Linked DNA regions of Saccharomyces cerevisiae S288C. Each later gene encodes a partner of the first gene's protein in a complex. Each region holds a gene or a part of one and is shown on either strand. Other genes may lie near its edges. The genes, in order: NUP100, NUP49, NUP188 and SEH1.

Region 1 (5,077 bases):
CACATATTTCTCCCCTTTATCAGTTCTACGTTGTAATGCTTCTTTACAGTCACCACTTGTAGGTTTAACATAAAAAAGCAAAGAGTACATAATATTTATTCAACCAGATGTGCAGATGTAACCAAAAACTTCACAGTTGTTTGCCATCTTAGTATAGTGGTTAGTACACATCGTTGTGGCCGATGAAACCCTGGTTCGATTCTAGGAGATGGCATTTTATTTTTTTCCTTTAGCCTTCATGGTCTGTCCGTTTTTATTTCATGAGACAACCTTTCTGCATCTGGCGATGCCACCAACCTTCATTGAAAAGAGGTCAATGTTCTTCTACAAAGGTTATAGAACCTCTTCATTTTTGTCTCCTCAAAATCCCATTCAAATGTGCCATGGCTGTTGATCAGGCATTTTCGGTCACACAATTACAATTAAGTATTTTTGTTTTCCGACAATTATTATATATACAATACAACGAAAATCTATCAGCTGAACATCTAGACTACTTAGACGATACAAGGATTCTCTACAAAAATTATTCCGGTTTAAGTTAAAACTGGGTGATCTATGGTGTAACTATAGGTGCCTGTTACGGGGTCATAGCTTTCAAACTTGTACACTGGGTTTTCTTTTAGTTTGGCTATACTTCTTTTCAGTAGAGGATGTGTTATATTCTTTATAGGTTTCCTTGTTTCTTTGTCAATAGGAAAACAGGAATATAAAGTCACTCTACAACGTACATTAATGCCTTCGCCCTTTTCTGGCTTTATGGAACAGTTTTCATATATTGAACATGATTTTGGTCCAAAGGTGACAAGATCCCCGCATAAAGTATCCAAAGGAGTATTCAACAAATCAACGGGCTCCAGAAACTCGACTTTACCATAATTTCTGTGACCAATGACTAGGTTGTTTATTTTACGAAGTTCAATTAATGACTTATTGCCAAGCGTTTCTATGGAAGGTGAAATGTAGTAGTTATTCTTGAAAAAGGTAACGTCGTTGCTCAATAGGCCGGGAACTTTGCTGCTAATCTTTTCATTCTCAATCATTGGTATAGAGGTGGAACCATTTGGAGATTTCGATTGAGGATCAGGAGTGCTTTCATCATGATCATCTTTTAGGTCAGTCTGAGGAGAATGTGCTTTTTCAGTTAATTTTGAAGCAGCAATGCTTGATGAGGCTTGGTCATCTTTTGAAGCTGATTCTGTTGTAAACGTCACTAATTTAACTTTGCTTGCTTCATCATCATTATGGTTAATGACATTTAAGTTCTTATTATTTTTAATCACCAGATGTTTCAAATATCTTCTATCTGGATCAAACAACAAGTCGTTTGAATTTAGATAGCTTGATTCTGGGTCCGTAATAGAATTGCTGGTACTGCTTCCTCTATCACTTCTTTCCAGTGTCTTGCCCCACTTTTGAAATTTAGCATCGCCATTCGAAGAGGGAGCAAATAACGGCTTTGGGGCAAGTCTATAGGCAGACGTGAGGCTACTATTTCTTTTCATATCTGCGTTCACTTTTGAAGTTGTTGCTTTAACTGGATTTGTAATAGAGTTAGGGATTGATATTTTGGAAAAAAGCTGTTCATTAGTTACTGGGGCTTGTTGTAGGGAAGGAACTGCCGTTGTACCCAAAAGGGCGTTTTGGGTGGTATTGTTCACAGGTGGTACATTTTGTGTACCAACATTAAGCGTATTATTATTCTGGCCAAAAAGTTTACCAGTTGAACCAACTGCTGAAGAGTTCGTGCCGGTGGCGCCAAAGAGTCCTGTATTTTGGGTTGTGCCTCCAAAAACTGGTTTGTTTTGGCCGATTGTGGAAGAATTCGAGTTTGAATTGCCGAATAACCCTCCCCCTAATGCAGGTTTGGACTGAGAATCAGGCTTTGCACCGAAAAGTCCCGTATTCGTAGTGCTAGTTGAATTGTTAGCGTTGTTACCAAACAATCCATTCGTGGAAGGTACTGTCGTAGAAGCTGTGTTGTTTCCAAATAATGAGCCGGTAGTGGAGGCAGGTTTAGTTCCGAATAGACTGTTTCCACTCCCTGACTGGTTTGCAGTGGGATTTCCTCCAAAGGGCATGTTGGTCAGCTTCGTGGCACCAAAAAGACTATTTCCTTGTTGTGACTGTGTATTAGAGGTAGGTACATTGGTAGTACCGAAAAGAGAGTTAGGCTGGGTTGATGAATTACCACCGAAAAGAGATCCTGTGGTACCTGCTGGTTTGGCTCCAAACAAACCTGTAGATTGTTGTTGCTGGTTGTTGTTCTGTCCAAAGAGACCTATTCCTGTATTAGATTGGGTAAAAGTATTGGGCTGTTTCTGATTATTCTGCCCAAAAAGTCCACTACTACCGCTTGTCTGAGAATTTTGACCAAACAGCCCGGACCCTTGCTGTTGATTATTTTGGCCAAATAAACCTCCTGATGCGGAATTTGAAAAGGTGTTTGCCTTTCCAAATAAACTGTTGTTGTTATTGCCATTAATTTGCATTTGATTATTGTTTTGTCCAAATACCCCTTGAGTGCTGCTGTTCATCGAGTTTTGTCCAAACAATCCACTGTTAGAACTGCCTTGGTTACTGGAATTCATTTGACCAAACAATCCATTTCTATTATTGGTTGTATTACCTAAAGTGTTGTTGCTCTGGCCAAACAGCGACCCTGAACCAACTGGTTTTGATCCGAAGGAACTGCCCCCCAGCTGATTTTGATTACCAAACGCATTATTGGTGTTTTGAGATTGCTGTCCAAATAGACTTCCTTGTTGATTATTTGTCCCAAACGCTGAAGATTGTTGGTTGCCAAACAAGCTGCCGGTAGTATTGCTTTGTGAGTTGTTCCCTGCCCCAAATATGTTAGAGCCGTTGCCATTTAAGCCTGTTCCGAAACTACTTCCGGTGTTTCCGAATGTGCCAGTGGTACTTGTACTTTGGCCGCCAAATAAACTAGAAGTACCTGCACTATTATTATTCTGCGAACCAAACAAGGTCCCTCCTGTATTCGGTTTATTGAAACCAAACGGGGAATTGGTACTGTTACTGTTATTATTAAATGCATTATTGGTATTACCACCAAAAGAACCCATTGAACTGGATCCTCCAAAAGTGTTCCCATTACTGGCATTTGAGGAGTTTAACGACCCAAATGGTGAGTTTTGGGTGGCACCCATTGACTGGCCAAATGCCCCATTATTTTGAGTATTGTTATTTCCAAATAAACTGTTACTATTACTGCCAGCGGCAGAAGTGAATCCACCAAATCCTGATTGGGCATTGTTACTGGTGGAATTGTTGTTGTTATTGCTATTTCCAAAAAGAGAGTTTGGTTGTTGCGATTGTTGCCCACCGAAGGATGACGTATTTGATCCAAAGGAAAGGTTGCTCCCTCCAAACATTGGTCTATTGTTGCCAAACATTGTTAGTACCTGAAAAAATTCAATGTACTAATAGTCCGGAATCAAAGCTAAAATATTTTGGTTAACAAAGACTGTTCTACGATATGTTATTTTCTTCTCCTCTTCAGGTCCAAAAGCGGTGGTCATTTGTAGATGACTTCAGCATAAATATGCTTTTTTTTTTCATGCTTTTTTTCTTCGCTTACGGCAAATATTTAAGGTGTCACGGTGATTGCAAGATGGGTAACACTTTCCGTTCTAACTAAGCATCAGAACATAATACAATCTAATCTTTGTCTAATAATCGACCAAAGAAATTTCCTAATGCTAAATGTTTTACTTTGAGAACGTTCTTGGAGAAGTCTCATTCCGATGTGCGGTTAACCTCTACTCCTATCAGGATAATGCTGCCCTTACTTGCAATAAACAGGTAGAAAAATACTAAAATACTGCAAATGTTTTCCATTAAAAGTTATTCTACACAATAGCTATTAAATTTGTGGTAAAGAGGTGAAAAAAAAAAAAACCTCTATAGCTTAATAAACTAAAAATTCGTACTATGCATAAGTAATCAAAACATGCATCTACACAAAAAAAATTGAAAAATCTATAAAAACACCTTCCTAAAAAATGAATATCGCCAATATCTATAACAAAAAGTCTCACCGGTATACAAGGATTGTTCAGAACAGCTAGCCAAACTTTAACAACCTCCAGCATTGACAATTAAAAATGTGAAAATAAAACAGCTAAACGAAATTACCGCCAAAATTGGTCTCACAGTTTACCAAATTTTTCCGTCATAGCACTCATTTGAGTCCAATATTTTAACTTAACGGGAGTTAAAGATCCTGTGTTGAGGTCTACCATCAGGTCTTCATCTTCTATTTCTTCCTGAGTTTGACTTAAAGCTTTTTGAAAACTTCCTTGCTTTTGTGTTTGAGAAAAGAGCCCATTTGACCTCTTTGAAGTACTTGATTCGTAAAGGTAACTGACGGAATGGTTTGCCTGCATTGTAGTTGATGATATATAATGTCGTTGATTTATGAGTTACTAGATGGCTACCATTAAGTCTCACTTGAAAATTCGCGGGAGCTGAGAGATGCAAGCATGTAACATTAGGTTCTGTAGTTATATATGATTGTTTCTTCCATTGCCTACATCAGAATCGAACTGTTCTAGGGCCTCACAGTCGAAACAAAAGTTTAGCGTTGTTTCGAGAAATGGCCGCACGAATGGCGATAGATGTCGAAATGCCACACTTTTAATTTTCTCGTTGCGTTTTTTTTTCTTTTTTGCCCTTAGCAGAGGGCAAAAAAGTGACAGAGGAGCCACAACTGCGGCCCGCGTGAACAAAAAACCCCATGATCTTTCTCAATTTTTTATTCGCATGCGACTCCTACATACACGGGACCTGCAAGGTGGTGCGGTGCAGCCACACGGAAGACTATTGTATACATATGTGATTGAAAATGCTTCTTTCCTTGAAAAGAAATAAAGGGATGCTACCTCTTCCTGTGGCACACCTTTCCTTGGACTTTGTATTGAGTAAGGATCCAGACACCTTTAGTGGCGAGCTTGATAATCCAGGTAACACAATATCGCCAATGATTTTTATCAAGTAAGACTATCGCATCCAGAAGATTATTAGTTTAATGTTGTTCGATAAGGCCTATTTTTAG
Region 2 (3,484 bases), on another chromosome or scaffold:
TCAACGGTATTGGTAATCACTGGTTTTATCAGACCATCATCATTGCCGCTCTTCTCCTCTTTGTTTGGAGAATCGTTTTCGGTTGTCTTCTCTCTATCATCCTCTACCTTGCTAATGATTCTCTTGTTTCGAAAGAAATCAAGTTCTTTCACGATCTGGCTTTCATTATTATCTTCCTTATGATTCTCATCATTTCCATTTATAACGCTGTAATCTGCTGCCTTAGCCTTTGGGCCTGACTCTTTCTTCACGGAAGCTCCTCTAGTTAATACTCTAAAAATATCCATGGTGGCTTGCCTGTTCGATAACTTCTACTATCGTATGTACCTTTTTGCAGGTAATATCTCTCAATTGAAGATGTCAATATTACTTTTTTTCCTTCCCATCTCATCGCAAAAAATTTTTCACGAAGAAAAGTTAGTTCGGCCTCTAAGACGCCATTATGGTGACTGAAAAACTGTGATTGATGTTATATTCTATTGCATTTAGTATAAATTACATTTGTACAAGACATTTGTACTTGTTATACGCACTATATAAACTTTCAGGGCGATTTACTCATATGCTCAATGATGCCAGTGTTTTCGTTTTTTGATGTAACACGGCGATTCTCTCAGCGATATCCATAAACAGTGTGAATTCCTCAATGACAGTAGAGACTATGGCAGCTAAGCCTGTCTTCAACTGCAGTAGGTTCTCTGCTTCGGATGAACCTAGATCTGCTGTGATAGCTGTAGAATTAGGGTTATTTGGGGCGCCAAATAAATCTGTATCAATGCCATTTACCGCAGTTTCTATATCAGAGAGAATACGGCAGTAATCCTCTAACTTCTTCTCGTAGAGATGAATTTTCTTTTGAAAGAATTTGTCTAAGTCATTAGAAGAAATTTTGCTTCCCGGAGTTAATAGTTGCTGTAAGAGCACCGAAAAAGTTTGCGTGTCTAGAAGGTCCTCATCGATTAGCGATTTAAATGAGGATATTTTCTTCAAATCTTGCTTTAAATATTGACTTGTTGCAGATTCTGACTTCAGTAGGTATGCAACATCACGAGGAATGGAATCTATCAATTCATCATGATCGATTGTATCGGCCTTCAAATGGTGCGAGATCTGCACTTGTTTTTGAATATATTGATCTAGTTGTTCAATTTCTTGACGTATTTGAGGTGGTAATTCGGAAATCCGTGTCATTGGGGTAATAGGGAGCTGAGATAGATTTTGCAATGCGCACTGCATTTGTGGTTGTTGCTGCAGTTGCTGCTGCTGATTACCAAATAGCCCGCCTGACGCACTCATGATGTTGTTACTATTATTGTTATTGTTGTTGTTATTTGATGAACCAAACAAAGACGTTGCTCCTGTCGGTTTGGAGCCAAATAACCCTCCACCAGTGGTCGTATTACCTGCATTATTGCCGAATAGAGATGTACCAGCTGGTTTTGCACCAAACATGCCCTGGTTCTGCGCAGGGGCCGAAGAGGTGCTTGTATTACCGAACAAAGAAGTGCCTCCTGCAGGTTTAGAGCCAAATAGTCCAGCGCTTGCATTATTCATGCCACTACTACTATTATTGATATTATTAGTGTTATTATTACCAAACAAACCACGACTCGTCTGTGCATTGTTGGAACCAAACAAACTGCCAGAATTACTGTTCGAATTAGCGCCAAATAACCCGCCCCCAGTGTTCGCCGTATTGTTAGGTTTGTTACCGAAAAGGCCCCCTCCGGTGGTGGCGCTTCCTCCAAATGCATTTGTCTGAGATTGTTGTTGCTGCTGACCAAATGATGCACCTAATCCTCCTGTAGATCCGGCTGGTTTAGCGCCAAATAGTCCACCTGTACTTGGGCCGGTGTTTTGTCCAGTTTGAGTCCCACCAAACGAAAACCCAGTATTCGCGTTTCCAGTGCTAGCTCCGCTGGCCTGACCAAAGAGCCCACCTGCAGGTGTCGAAGATGCTTTATTTAATCCAAACATTGTGCCCACTACCCGTGAAAACCCTCTCAATTACTGTTTTTATCGTCTCATCACCTGATCAGTAACTATTCTCACGATTAATGGTCTTTTTCAACTACATTTATTTGAGAAAGCTGTAATACATTCCGTGTTGAGTGATATATACAACCTCCTTTGCTCGTCTTTTCGCCACCGCAGAGCAAGTAACAACAGAGACAAACAAGAAGAGGTTAGAAAGCAATTTAAGGAGTAGTTTAACGAGTACTGAAAACGTCAAACTAAGTACTTACGACTTCCAATTACCGGTTGTAAAGTTTATCTACGCAAATATAACAGTTGCAGCTTGCTTTTTTTTTCAGCAGCTCTTCCGTTATTATAAAATCTGTTTGGCGTTCGCACAAGCGAACCGATTCTTTTATTATTTTCTCTCTGCCTTTTATTTCCGTTCCTGTTAATAGTTTATTTTCTAAAGGATACTGTCTTCTTCCGTACTTATAATCGGGTTCACAATAAGCAATTGACTAATCCTAGGACGATTCGTGTACTATAAGGAGAAAAAAAATCAACACTTGTAACAACAGCAGCAACAAATATATATCAGTACGGTATGGGTATTCCAAAATTTTTCAGGTACATCTCAGAAAGATGGCCCATGATTTTACAGCTTATTGAGGGAACACAGATTCCTGAGTTTGATAACTTATACCTGGATATGAATTCGATTTTACATAATTGTACGCATGGTAACGACGATGATGTAACCAAGCGATTAACTGAAGAAGAGGTTTTTGCAAAAATCTGTACGTATATCGATCACCTTTTTCAAACAATCAAGCCCAAGAAGATTTTCTACATGGCTATTGATGGTGTGGCCCCTCGTGCCAAGATGAATCAACAAAGAGCTCGTAGATTCAGAACCGCTATGGATGCAGAAAAAGCCTTGAAGAAGGCTATTGAGAATGGTGACGAGATTCCTAAGGGTGAGCCATTTGATTCGAATTCTATTACTCCAGGTACGGAGTTTATGGCCAAATTGACCAAAAACTTACAATATTTTATTCACGACAAGATTTCTAACGATTCCAAATGGAGGGAAGTGCAAATCATATTTTCTGGCCATGAAGTTCCAGGTGAAGGTGAACACAAGATCATGAACTTTATAAGGCATTTAAAATCCCAAAAGGATTTCAACCAGAATACGAGACATTGTATTTACGGTCTTGACGCAGATTTGATTATGCTGGGTTTGTCTACTCATGGGCCACATTTTGCGTTATTGAGAGAAGAAGTGACATTTGGTAGAAGAAATAGTGAAAAAAAATCGCTTGAACATCAAAATTTCTACTTATTACATCTTTCTTTATTAAGAGAATACATGGAGTTGGAATTCAAAGAAATTGCCGATGAAATGCAATTTGAATACAATTTTGAACGTATTTTGGATGATTTTATTCTTGTCATGTTCGTCATTGGTAATGATTTCTTGCCCAATTTGCCAGATTTGCACCTTAACAAAGGAGCATTTCCC
Region 3 (7,230 bases), on another chromosome or scaffold:
AGCCGCCATCAGCGCTGGTTTCTTCAAAGATGGGATTCTAATCGCAGGCCGGTTTTTAACGCCACCAGCGCTGTTCAGTATTCCAGATCTAGTATACACGTATACGCAGTTCGCGACTTCATCACCAGCCACCTTATACACACCACTGGGAATTACGACCAAACCACCACAAGGCGATATGCTGCATCGCCTAAAGAATGAAGGTAGCGTCTCGTTGTGAAAAAGGTAATTTGTCCTCAGGACATCACCTGGACAAGGCAGTTCTGCCTTGGCAATCTTACTTCTAAGTTTCAGCCCTGTAACCACTCCTGCAGATGAAAGAATGACTCCATATACATGCAGAGACCGGTCCGCAGACTGTGAGAGAATAAACTGATTTAATGGGTCCCATGCAACACCTTGGACGTAGTGACCATGATCCGACTGGCCGCATACCAGCATCCCAGCTCCAACATCGAACAGTCGTATCGAATTGTCCATACATGCCACCACTATGTTCCTGTTATCAGGTGACCACGCTAGATCGTAAATCTCTGCCGCCGCAGTAGCACCGCTACCACCACGCAGCCGTTTCCACACAACCCATTTCTCCTTGTTCTCGTCTGCTTCACTAGTCTCCGCATCCATTCCGAATGGTCTGACCACAGATTCTTGCTGTGTATTTGGATCTTCTTGCTTCCATAGCAGCACTTGGCCGTCATCGCCCGCAGACGCCAGTACGTCACCCTTCGAGTTGAATCGGATTACATTTATGGCCTGTTCGTGATGCGTCAGCGAGCCAAGAAAGTCAAGGCTTTCAATCTTACGCACCCCCCCATTTTGTCCGTTTTCATCTCTGTTCAACTTCCATATCCTAACCTTGTTATCACCACCAGCGGTGAAAAGCTTGTCGTTCGCACTGTTCTTTTGGAATGTGAGCGAGTAAACGGGTTGTGAATCATGCCAGTAGATTTGCAAATGTGAAGCTTCCATTGTCCTGCCCCTTTGCTCTAAGCTTTTCTGCCTCCTTCTTTTAAATTCTGATACGTACTATAACGCTATAATAATAGCCCATCAGTTAGACAGCGAGTTAACTAACGTGTTCGCCGGGCAACCCAAGGAAATAAGGCGTCCTTTTCACATTTTCATATTTTTTCAAATTTTTTTCAATTCTAATTTTCCTTTTTCTCCCCCACCGTCTATAAAAGCTAGTAGTTTTCTACTTTTCACCACAGAAATCTATTCCTTCGATAACAGTCCCTAAATAAAAACACGACAAAAAGGCCCCACGCAAGCATGTGCAGCAACGGACAGGCGTCGTGCGCACAAACTTGCTCAGGGGCCCGAATACTAGCACATATGTCAAATTCCTAATTAACGTTTTTTATATTCATCGTTTCTTAGAGCCGTAATTGTGCTGATATCAATATCAGGGAAGAACATACCATATAGAGGTGTCAAGTACACCGAACGATCGTGGTGCTCCCTCAGCCACGGGCGTGCTTGGACGCTATTCCCACATATATACGCAAACAATCTATGTCTTCTCCCTCCTTGCCAGAAAGCCGGCTCCTGCTTGTAGTTAAGGTATATATGTATATATTCCGGGTAAGAATATTTTGTAATACCAAAAATTTTCTTCTTGAAATGAATACTTTGAGACATCTTTAATATTCGAACAGAAACACAAATAAAGAGATAACCCTTTCCACCGCTAAAAAAAGGACCCCATCAGCCATGGCTACACCTTCATTTGGCAATTCCTCTCCACAATTGACCTTCACTCATGTTGCTAATTTTATGAACGATGCTGCTGCTGATGTATCCGCTGTGGATGCCAAGCAATTGGCCCAAATAAGACAGTTTTTGAAAGCTAACAAGACAAATCTTATCGAGAGTCTGAACACAATAAGGCAGAATGTAACTTCTTCCGGCGATCATAACAAGTTACGCTCTACAATTGCAAACTTATTGCAAATAAACGTCGATAATGATCCATTCTTTGCTCAATCTGAGGACCTTTCTCATGCTGTAGAATTCTTTATGTCTGAGAGATCATCTAGACTTCATATAGTATACTCACTTCTCGTTAACCCTGACATCGACCTCGAGACATATTCATTTATTGACAACGATAGATTCAATGTAGTGGGGAAATTGATTTCTATAATATCATCTGTAATCCAGAACTACGACATTATTACAGCTTCATCTTTAGCACATGATTATAATAACGATCAAGACATGTTCACAATTGTCTCATTGGTGCAGTTAAAAAAATTTTCTGATTTGAAGTTTATCTTGCAGATATTACAAATTTTGAATTTAATGATCCTCAACACAAAAGTACCAGTAGATATCGTCAATCAATGGTTTCTACAGTATCAAAATCAATTTGTTGAATTTTGCAGAAATATAAATTCAACAGACAAGAGTATAGATACCTCGTCACTACAATTGTACAAGTTTCAGAATTTCCAAGACCTCAGTTACCTCTCAGAAACGCTTATTTCCAGGATTTCATCTTTATTTACTATCACAACTATATTGATACTTGGACTGAACACTTCAATCGCGCAATTTGATATTCAGTCACCTTTGTACATGGATACAGAAACTTTCGACACCGTCAATAGCGCTCTAGAGAATGATGTAGCAACCAATATCGTCAACGAGGACCCCATTTTCCATCCAATGATTCATTACTCCTGGTCATTTATACTTTATTATAGGCGAGCATTACAATCGTCGGAATCATTTGATGATTCAGACATAACGAAATTTGCTCTGTTTGCTGAATCACATGATGTTCTTCAAAAATTGAATACTCTCTCAGAAATTCTATCCTTTGATCCTGTTTACACCACAGTAATAACAGTATTTTTGGAGTTTTCTTTAAATTTTATTCCTATAACTGCATCTACTTCCCGGGTTTTCGCCAAGATAATTTCAAAGGCACCAGAGCAGTTCATTGAGAATTTCTTAACTAATGACACTTTTGAGAAAAAATTGAGCATCATAAAGGCTAAATTGCCCCTATTGAACGAATCACTGATCCCGCTAATTAATTTAGCCTTAATTGATACCGAGTTTGCCAATTTTGAATTAAAAGATATATGTTCATTTGCTGTTACCAAAAGTAGTTTGAACGATTTGGATTATGACTTAATTGCTGATACAATAACAAACTCTTCTTCATCCTCCGATATTATAGTGCCTGATTTGATAGAGTTGAAGTCTGATTTACTAGTGGCGCCACCCTTAGAAAACGAAAACTCTAATTGTCTCTTGTCAATACCAAAATCAACAAAGGGAAAAATTCTTACTATCAAACAACAACAACAACAACAACAACAACAGAATGGACAACAGCCGCCAACTACTTCCAATTTGATTATTTTCCTTTACAAATTCAATGGTTGGTCTTTGGTGGGTAGAATATTGCAAAATCTATTACATTCATATATGGAAAAGGGTACACAACTGGATGACTTACAACATGAATTGATGATATCCATAATAAAGTTAGTCACTAACGTTGTCGATCCGAAAACCTCGATCGAGAAATCTAGTGAAATTCTGTCATATTTATCAAATTCTCTGGATACTTCAGCCAGCACCATAAATGGAGCGTCGATTATCCAAGTAATTTTCGAGATTTTTGAAATATCACTACAAAGAAAAGATTATACCTCAATTGTACAATGTTGTGAATTTATGACTATGCTGACACCGAATTACCTTCATCTTGTTTCTTCTTACTTGAACAAATCGGATTTGTTAGACAAATATGGTAAGACTGGTCTTTCCAATATGATACTCGGTTCGGTTGAATTATCTACGGGGGATTACACATTCACTATCCAATTGCTTAAGCTAACAAAAGTCTTTATTCGAGAATCTCTCTCATTGAAAAATATCCATATTTCCAAGAGAAGTAAAATTGATATTATTAATAAGTTGATTCTACATGCAATTCATATCTTTGAGAGTTATTACAACTGGAAGTACAACAACTTCTTACAAAAATTCGAAATTGCCTTCCATTTGACATTAATTTTTTATGATGTACTTCATGACGTTTTCACCATAAATCCACATCAAAAGGATCAGTTAATCATTTCCTCGTCAGCAAACAAATTGTTGCAGTTATTTTTGACTCCCATGGATTCCATTGATTTGGCTCCAAATACTTTGACGAATATTCTGATTTCACCATTGAATACCACAACAAAAATTTTAGGCGACAAAATTTTGGGTAATTTATATAGCAAGGTAATGAATAACTCCTTCAAGCTGTGCACGCTTTTGATCGCTATTCGAGGTAGCAATCGTGATTTAAAGCCAAGCAACCTGGAAAAATTGCTTTTCATAAATTCATCAAAATTGGTTGACGTTTATACCCTACCAAGTTATGTTCATTTCAAAGTGCAGATCATAGAGTTGTTAAGCTATTTAGTAGAGGCTCCTTGGAATGACGACTATCCATTTCTGTTATCTTTCCTTGGTGAAGCAAAGTCAATGGCATTTTTGAAAGAAGTCCTGTCGGACCTGAGCTCTCCAGTGCAAGATTGGAACCTTCTCCGAAGTTTGTACATTTTTTTTACTACCCTATTAGAAAGTAAACAAGATGGGTTATCTATCCTCTTCTTAACAGGTCAATTTGCCTCCAATAAAAAAATTAATGACGAATCCTCCATAGACAAAAAGAGTTCTATATTAACTGTTTTGCAAAAGAATTCTTTACTATTAGATTCAACGCCTGAAGAAGTAAGTTGCAAGTTATTAGAAACGATAACATATGTTTTAAACACTTGGACAAATTCTAAAATATTCATAAAAGATCCTAAATTTGTGAATTCCTTATTGGCTAAGTTGAAGGACTCAAAAAAATTATTTCAGAAAAAGGAAAATTTGACTCGTGACGAAACTGTTTCTTTGATTAAGAAATACAAATTGATCTCAAGGATTGTAGAAATATTTGCGTTGTGTATTTACAACTCCACTGATTCAAACTCGGAAATTTTAAATTTTTTGAATCAGGAAGACTTGTTTGAATTAGTTCATCATTTCTTCCAAATTGATGGGTTCAATAAAACTTTTCATGATGAATTAAACTTAAAATTTAAAGAGAAATGGCCCAGTTTAGAGCTTCAGTCGTTCCAAAAAATTCCATTATCCAGAATAAACGAAAATGAGAATTTCGGTTATGATATTCCGTTATTAGATATAGTTTTAAAAGCTGACCGTAGTTGGAACGAACCAAGTAAGAGTCAGACAAATTTTAAGGAGGAAATAACAGACGCTTCATTAAATTTGCAGTATGTCAATTACGAAATATCTACCGCAAAAGCATGGGGCGCACTAATCACCACGTTTGTGAAGAGGAGCACTGTTCCGTTAAATGATGGTTTTGTCGACTTGGTAGAGCATTTCCTCAAGTTAAATATTGATTTTGGTTCAGATAAACAAATGTTTACCCAAATATATCTGGAAAGAATTGAGTTGTCGTTTTACATTTTATATTCGTTCAAGTTGTCGGGAAAATTGTTGAAGGAAGAAAAGATAATTGAATTGATGAACAAGATTTTTACAATTTTCAAATCTGGTGAGATTGACTTTATTAAAAATATTGGTAAGTCACTAAAAAATAACTTTTATAGACCTCTTTTGAGATCTGTCTTAGTTCTTCTCGAGTTAGTCTCGTCAGGAGATCGTTTTATCGAATTAATATCTGATCAACTACTGGAATTTTTTGAATTAGTGTTTAGTAAGGGTGTTTATTTGATACTGTCTGAGATATTATGTCAGATCAATAAATGCTCCACGAGGGGTTTAAGCACCGATCACACCACCCAAATTGTCAACTTGGAGGATAATACTCAGGATTTATTGTTATTATTATCACTCTTCAAGAAGATCACCAATGTGAATCCCTCTAAAAACTTCAATGTTATTCTAGCATCATCCCTAAACGAAGTAGGAACTTTGAAAGTTATACTGAACCTATATTCAAGCGCGCATTTGATAAGGATTAACGATGAACCAATTCTTGGGCAAATTACTCTGACCTTTATCTCCGAATTGTGTTCTATTGAGCCAATTGCTGCAAAACTCATCAACAGTGGATTGTATAGCGTTCTATTGGAAAGTCCACTATCTGTTGCAATACAGCAAGGTGATATAAAACCTGAATTTTCGCCTAGATTGCACAACATTTGGAGCAATGGTTTGTTATCCATTGTTCTACTACTATTAAGTCAGTTCGGTATCAAGGTTTTACCTGAGACGTGCCTATTTGTTTCATATTTTGGAAAACAAATAAAATCTACAATATATAACTGGGGTGACAACAAGTTAGCAGTGTCAAGTTCGTTGATAAAGGAAACGAATCAATTGGTTTTATTGCAAAAAATGCTAAACTTGCTAAATTACCAAGAATTGTTTATTCAGCCTAAAAACTCTGATGATCAACAAGAAGCTGTAGAATTGGTTATTGGTCTAGATTCTGAACATGATAAAAAAAGGTTAAGCGCTGCATTAAGCAAGTTTCTAACACATCCAAAATACTTGAATTCAAGAATAATACCTACAACTTTAGAAGAGCAACAGCAGTTGGAGGATGAATCAAGCAGATTGGAGTTCGTCAAGGGTATCAGCAGAGACATTAAAGCATTACAAGATTCACTATTTAAGGACGTTTAACTTATTTTGCAGGTTATGTAAAGCTACATAATATAATAATGAACAGTGCAAGTGCAAGGGTGGCCCTTTGTTGCTATACTGCGGACTGCGACTGTATGAGCTTTTTCCATCCCAGTTCTATCCATTGTGTACTTTTTTTTTTCATCGCCTTACGAACTTCAAAAATATGTAAACAATAAGATAAGTAAATTAACCGAAGACTCTCATGCTTTGAAAGCGCCATAAGTGCGCGTGTTTGTGCCTTCTGATATGATATCGTATGCCTAAGTTTCCACAGTTTCGATTGATTTTAGTTTTGTTTTACTTAATATCAATGATACAATGGTCGGTAATCACTTTTTCGCTGGGGTTCTTTCTTAATGTCTGCATCTTTGCGTACTTCGTATTCTTCAAATCCTTGCCTGATTTACCGAAACCTCAGCCAAGATTTGTTGATATCGTACCGGAAAGTTCGAATACTGTGGATGTTGATAAAGAATTGAAGTCTGTCGAGGGTTTAATACAAGATGGGAACGCGCAAATTGGGAAAGAATTAGAGAGTATTGT
Region 4 (3,360 bases), on another chromosome or scaffold:
TCGATAAAATGTCCAGTTGAAAACCTGTTTTACTAACGATTTAAAAATTGTATTTCATTACAATATTTTTTTTGTACAGCCGGTAAAGGTCGTATCGGTAAGCACAGAAAGCACCCCGGTGGTAGAGGTATGGCCGGTGGTCAACATCACCACAGAATTAACATGGATAAATACCATCCAGGTTATTTCGGTAAGGTTGGTATGAGATACTTCCACAAGCAACAAGCTCATTTCTGGAAGCCAGTCTTGAACTTGGACAAATTGTGGACATTGATCCCAGAAGACAAGAGAGACCAATACTTGAAATCTGCTTCTAAGGAAACTGCTCCAGTTATTGACACTTTGGCAGCCGGTTACGGTAAGATCTTGGGTAAGGGTAGAATTCCAAATGTTCCAGTTATCGTCAAAGCTAGATTCGTCTCCAAGTTGGCTGAAGAAAAAATCAGAGCTGCTGGTGGTGTTGTTGAATTGATCGCTTAAGCGCATCAACAAAAACTCTATGTATTTTCCAATAAATTATATATCTTCAGTTTAATCTAATTCAACATCTACTTCTGTATTATTTCTATCACCCATTTTCACCGTTTTTTCGTCTTGTCTATTTTGAAGTTACCAGTGGCAGATCCCAACGCTTTTATCGCTTTTTTAAAAGATTTTCAAAATCCATATATAAACATAGGGTCCAAAAAGAAAACAAATAACAAAACAAGAAAACCTATTCGAGGTAAAGACCAGGAAAAACAAAATGACTGCAGTTAACATCTGGAAGCCAGAAGATAATATACCTAGGGAGATTTTGGCAATTCTTTCGAAACCTCACCCAAATTATCAGTTAGCGTTTTTGAATATTATACAACTTTTGAAAACGCAAAGAAGAACTGGTTGGGTTGACCATGGTATTGACCCATGCGAAAGTATATCTGACCATATGTACAGAATGGGTTTAACTACCATGCTGATTACGGACAAGAATGTTGATCGTAACAAATGTATCAGAATCGCACTTGTTCACGATTTTGCGGAGTCATTAGTTGGTGATATTACACCTAATGACCCAATGACAAAGGAAGAGAAACATCGCAGAGAATTTGAAACTGTCAAGTATCTCTGTGAAAGCATAATAAGGCCCTGCAGTGAAAGCGCATCTAGGGAAATTCTTGATGACTGGTTAGCATACGAAAAGCAGACCTGTTTGGAAGGAAGATATGTCAAAGATATTGATAAGTATGAAATGTTGGTTCAATGTTTTGAGTACGAACAAAAGTATAATGGCAAGAAGGATTTGAAACAATTTTTGGGAGCCATCAATGATATAAAAACTGATGAAGTTAAAAAATGGACACAATCTTTACTGGAAGATCGACAAGCCTTTTTCGACAGTTTGAAGGAGTAATAATGTGGCCTTTTGAAAGAAAAGTTAGTGCTTTTTTTTCTTTTCTCAAACCTTCACCTGGTGGTGCGTATCATTTATAATAACATCTTGATGCTTTTCAACGAGATAGTGCCCATTTTATTTTGCATGTATTATACTTCCAGCACCCGGTGTGCATTATATGTAACTTTAGAAATAATCTTTTGTATATTATTCGCGATTGAATGTGCGTGCTGCATTATCAACCAAGTTTTAATATATCTGTTTCTCTTATTTATTGTTAGTTAAGTCTTCGGCAAAACGATGGAAAAAATCATGAACTGAATAGAGACAAGTAAACCAAATTATAAACAAGGTTTCCCTTCTGAAGAGATACTAAGGAAGAAGAAGAACGACCCAATAATATTTCTGAATATGCAACCATTTGATAGTGGGCATGATGATTTAGTTCATGATGTCGTTTATGACTTTTACGGAAGACATGTGGCAACATGCTCTTCTGATCAACATATTAAAGTTTTTAAATTAGACAAGGACACGAGTAATTGGGAACTCAGTGACTCATGGAGAGCTCACGACAGTAGTATCGTGGCCATTGATTGGGCCAGTCCAGAATATGGGCGCATCATTGCTTCAGCCTCTTACGATAAGACGGTAAAATTATGGGAAGAAGATCCCGACCAAGAAGAATGCTCTGGCCGTCGTTGGAACAAGCTGTGTACCCTGAATGATTCCAAAGGATCACTTTATAGTGTAAAATTTGCGCCAGCGCATTTGGGCTTAAAATTAGCTTGTTTGGGTAACGATGGAATCCTCAGACTTTATGATGCCTTAGAACCTTCTGACCTAAGGTCATGGACACTGACTTCTGAGATGAAAGTGCTATCTATACCACCAGCAAATCATTTACAGTCTGATTTTTGTCTCTCTTGGTGTCCTTCGAGATTTTCTCCTGAAAAGCTCGCAGTCTCTGCATTGGAACAAGCGATTATATACCAAAGGGGTAAAGACGGTAAACTTCACGTTGCAGCAAAACTTCCCGGTCATAAAAGTTTAATAAGAAGTATCAGCTGGGCTCCTTCCATTGGTAGATGGTATCAACTCATTGCAACAGGTTGCAAAGATGGTAGAATTAGAATTTTCAAAATCACAGAAAAACTAAGTCCCCTGGCCTCAGAGGAGTCTTTAACTAACTCAAATATGTTTGATAATAGTGCTGATGTTGACATGGATGCACAGGGCAGATCAGACTCAAATACCGAAGAGAAAGCTGAGCTACAATCAAACTTGCAAGTTGAACTTCTAAGCGAGCATGATGACCATAATGGCGAAGTTTGGTCCGTGTCTTGGAATTTAACGGGTACAATCTTAAGCAGTGCTGGGGATGATGGGAAGGTACGTTTATGGAAAGCCACTTATTCAAATGAATTTAAGTGTATGTCAGTAATTACTGCCCAACAATAAATAAGAATATATGTATACATAACATTATATATTGGTACTTTATACGTGTGCATTATTCTGTATAATACGAGGCAACAGATGAATCAAGAAAGATGATGCTTTTAAAAAGCTCTTACAAATATAATGATATTACATCAAATGATATTATTATTCTTGATATTGGGTATTCTTTCGAATTATATCAAGCTTCCCTTCCCTCGCCTTTTCGCCTGGAAATTTTTCAATGCCGAGATTAAAAAATTTGTCAATGAAAATGCATTCTACTACTTAATAAAGAGGTGATGAGCTTATAAGCCAACTTCTTTTAAACACAAAACTAAATCTGATATTGAGGACCCCCACCAACTATGCCACCAAAAGAAGCTCCCAAGAAATGGAAGGCGCCAAAAGGGCCAAAACCTACCCACCGTAAAAATAAAAATAAGCTTGAATTAGGCAGAGCTATTAAATATGCACGTCAAAAAGAAAATGCCATCGAGTATTTACCTGATGGTGAAATGAGGTTCACTACCGATAAGCATGAG

The links.
Region 2: NUP100 (region 1) and NUP49 share a complex: the UniProt entries of both Saccharomyces cerevisiae proteins name them as parts of the nuclear pore complex.
Region 3: NUP100 (region 1) and NUP188 share a complex: the UniProt entries of both Saccharomyces cerevisiae proteins name them as parts of the nuclear pore complex.
Region 4: NUP100 (region 1) and SEH1 share a complex: the UniProt entries of both Saccharomyces cerevisiae proteins name them as parts of the nuclear pore complex.

The regions. Positions count from the first base shown.
Region 1 is NC_001143.9:308,538-313,614, reverse strand, and holds NUP100 (FG-nucleoporin NUP100), read right to left. Parts: upstream 3,417-5,077; coding exon 537-3,416; downstream 1-536. Other genes in the region: YKL068W-A (uncharacterized protein), read right to left, coding at 4,173-4,409. UniProt on the Saccharomyces cerevisiae protein: Functions as a component of the nuclear pore complex (NPC).
Region 2 is NC_001139.9:179,193-182,676, reverse strand, and holds NUP49 (FG-nucleoporin NUP49), read right to left. Parts: upstream 1,978-3,484; coding exon 559-1,977; downstream 1-558. Other genes in the region: RNA-dependent ATPase ROK1, read right to left, coding at 1-287; chromatin-binding exonuclease XRN1, read left to right, coding at 2,564-3,484. UniProt on the Saccharomyces cerevisiae protein: Functions as a component of the nuclear pore complex (NPC).
Region 3 is NC_001145.3:62,036-69,265, reverse strand, and holds NUP188 (Nup188p), read left to right. Parts: upstream 1-1,716; coding exon 1,717-6,684; downstream 6,685-7,230. Other genes in the region: CAC2 (Cac2p), read right to left, coding at 1-972; MDM1 (Mdm1p), read left to right, coding at 6,944-7,230. UniProt on the Saccharomyces cerevisiae protein: Functions as a component of the nuclear pore complex (NPC).
Region 4 is NC_001139.9:311,448-314,807, forward strand, and holds SEH1 (Seh1p), read left to right. Parts: upstream 1-1,786; coding exon 1,787-2,836; downstream 2,837-3,360. Other genes in the region: 60S ribosomal protein uL15 RPL28, read left to right, coding at 80-480; YGK1 (5'-deoxynucleotidase), read left to right, coding at 746-1,393; ribosome biogenesis GTPase LSG1, read left to right, coding at 3,184-3,360. UniProt on the Saccharomyces cerevisiae protein: Functions as a component of the nuclear pore complex (NPC).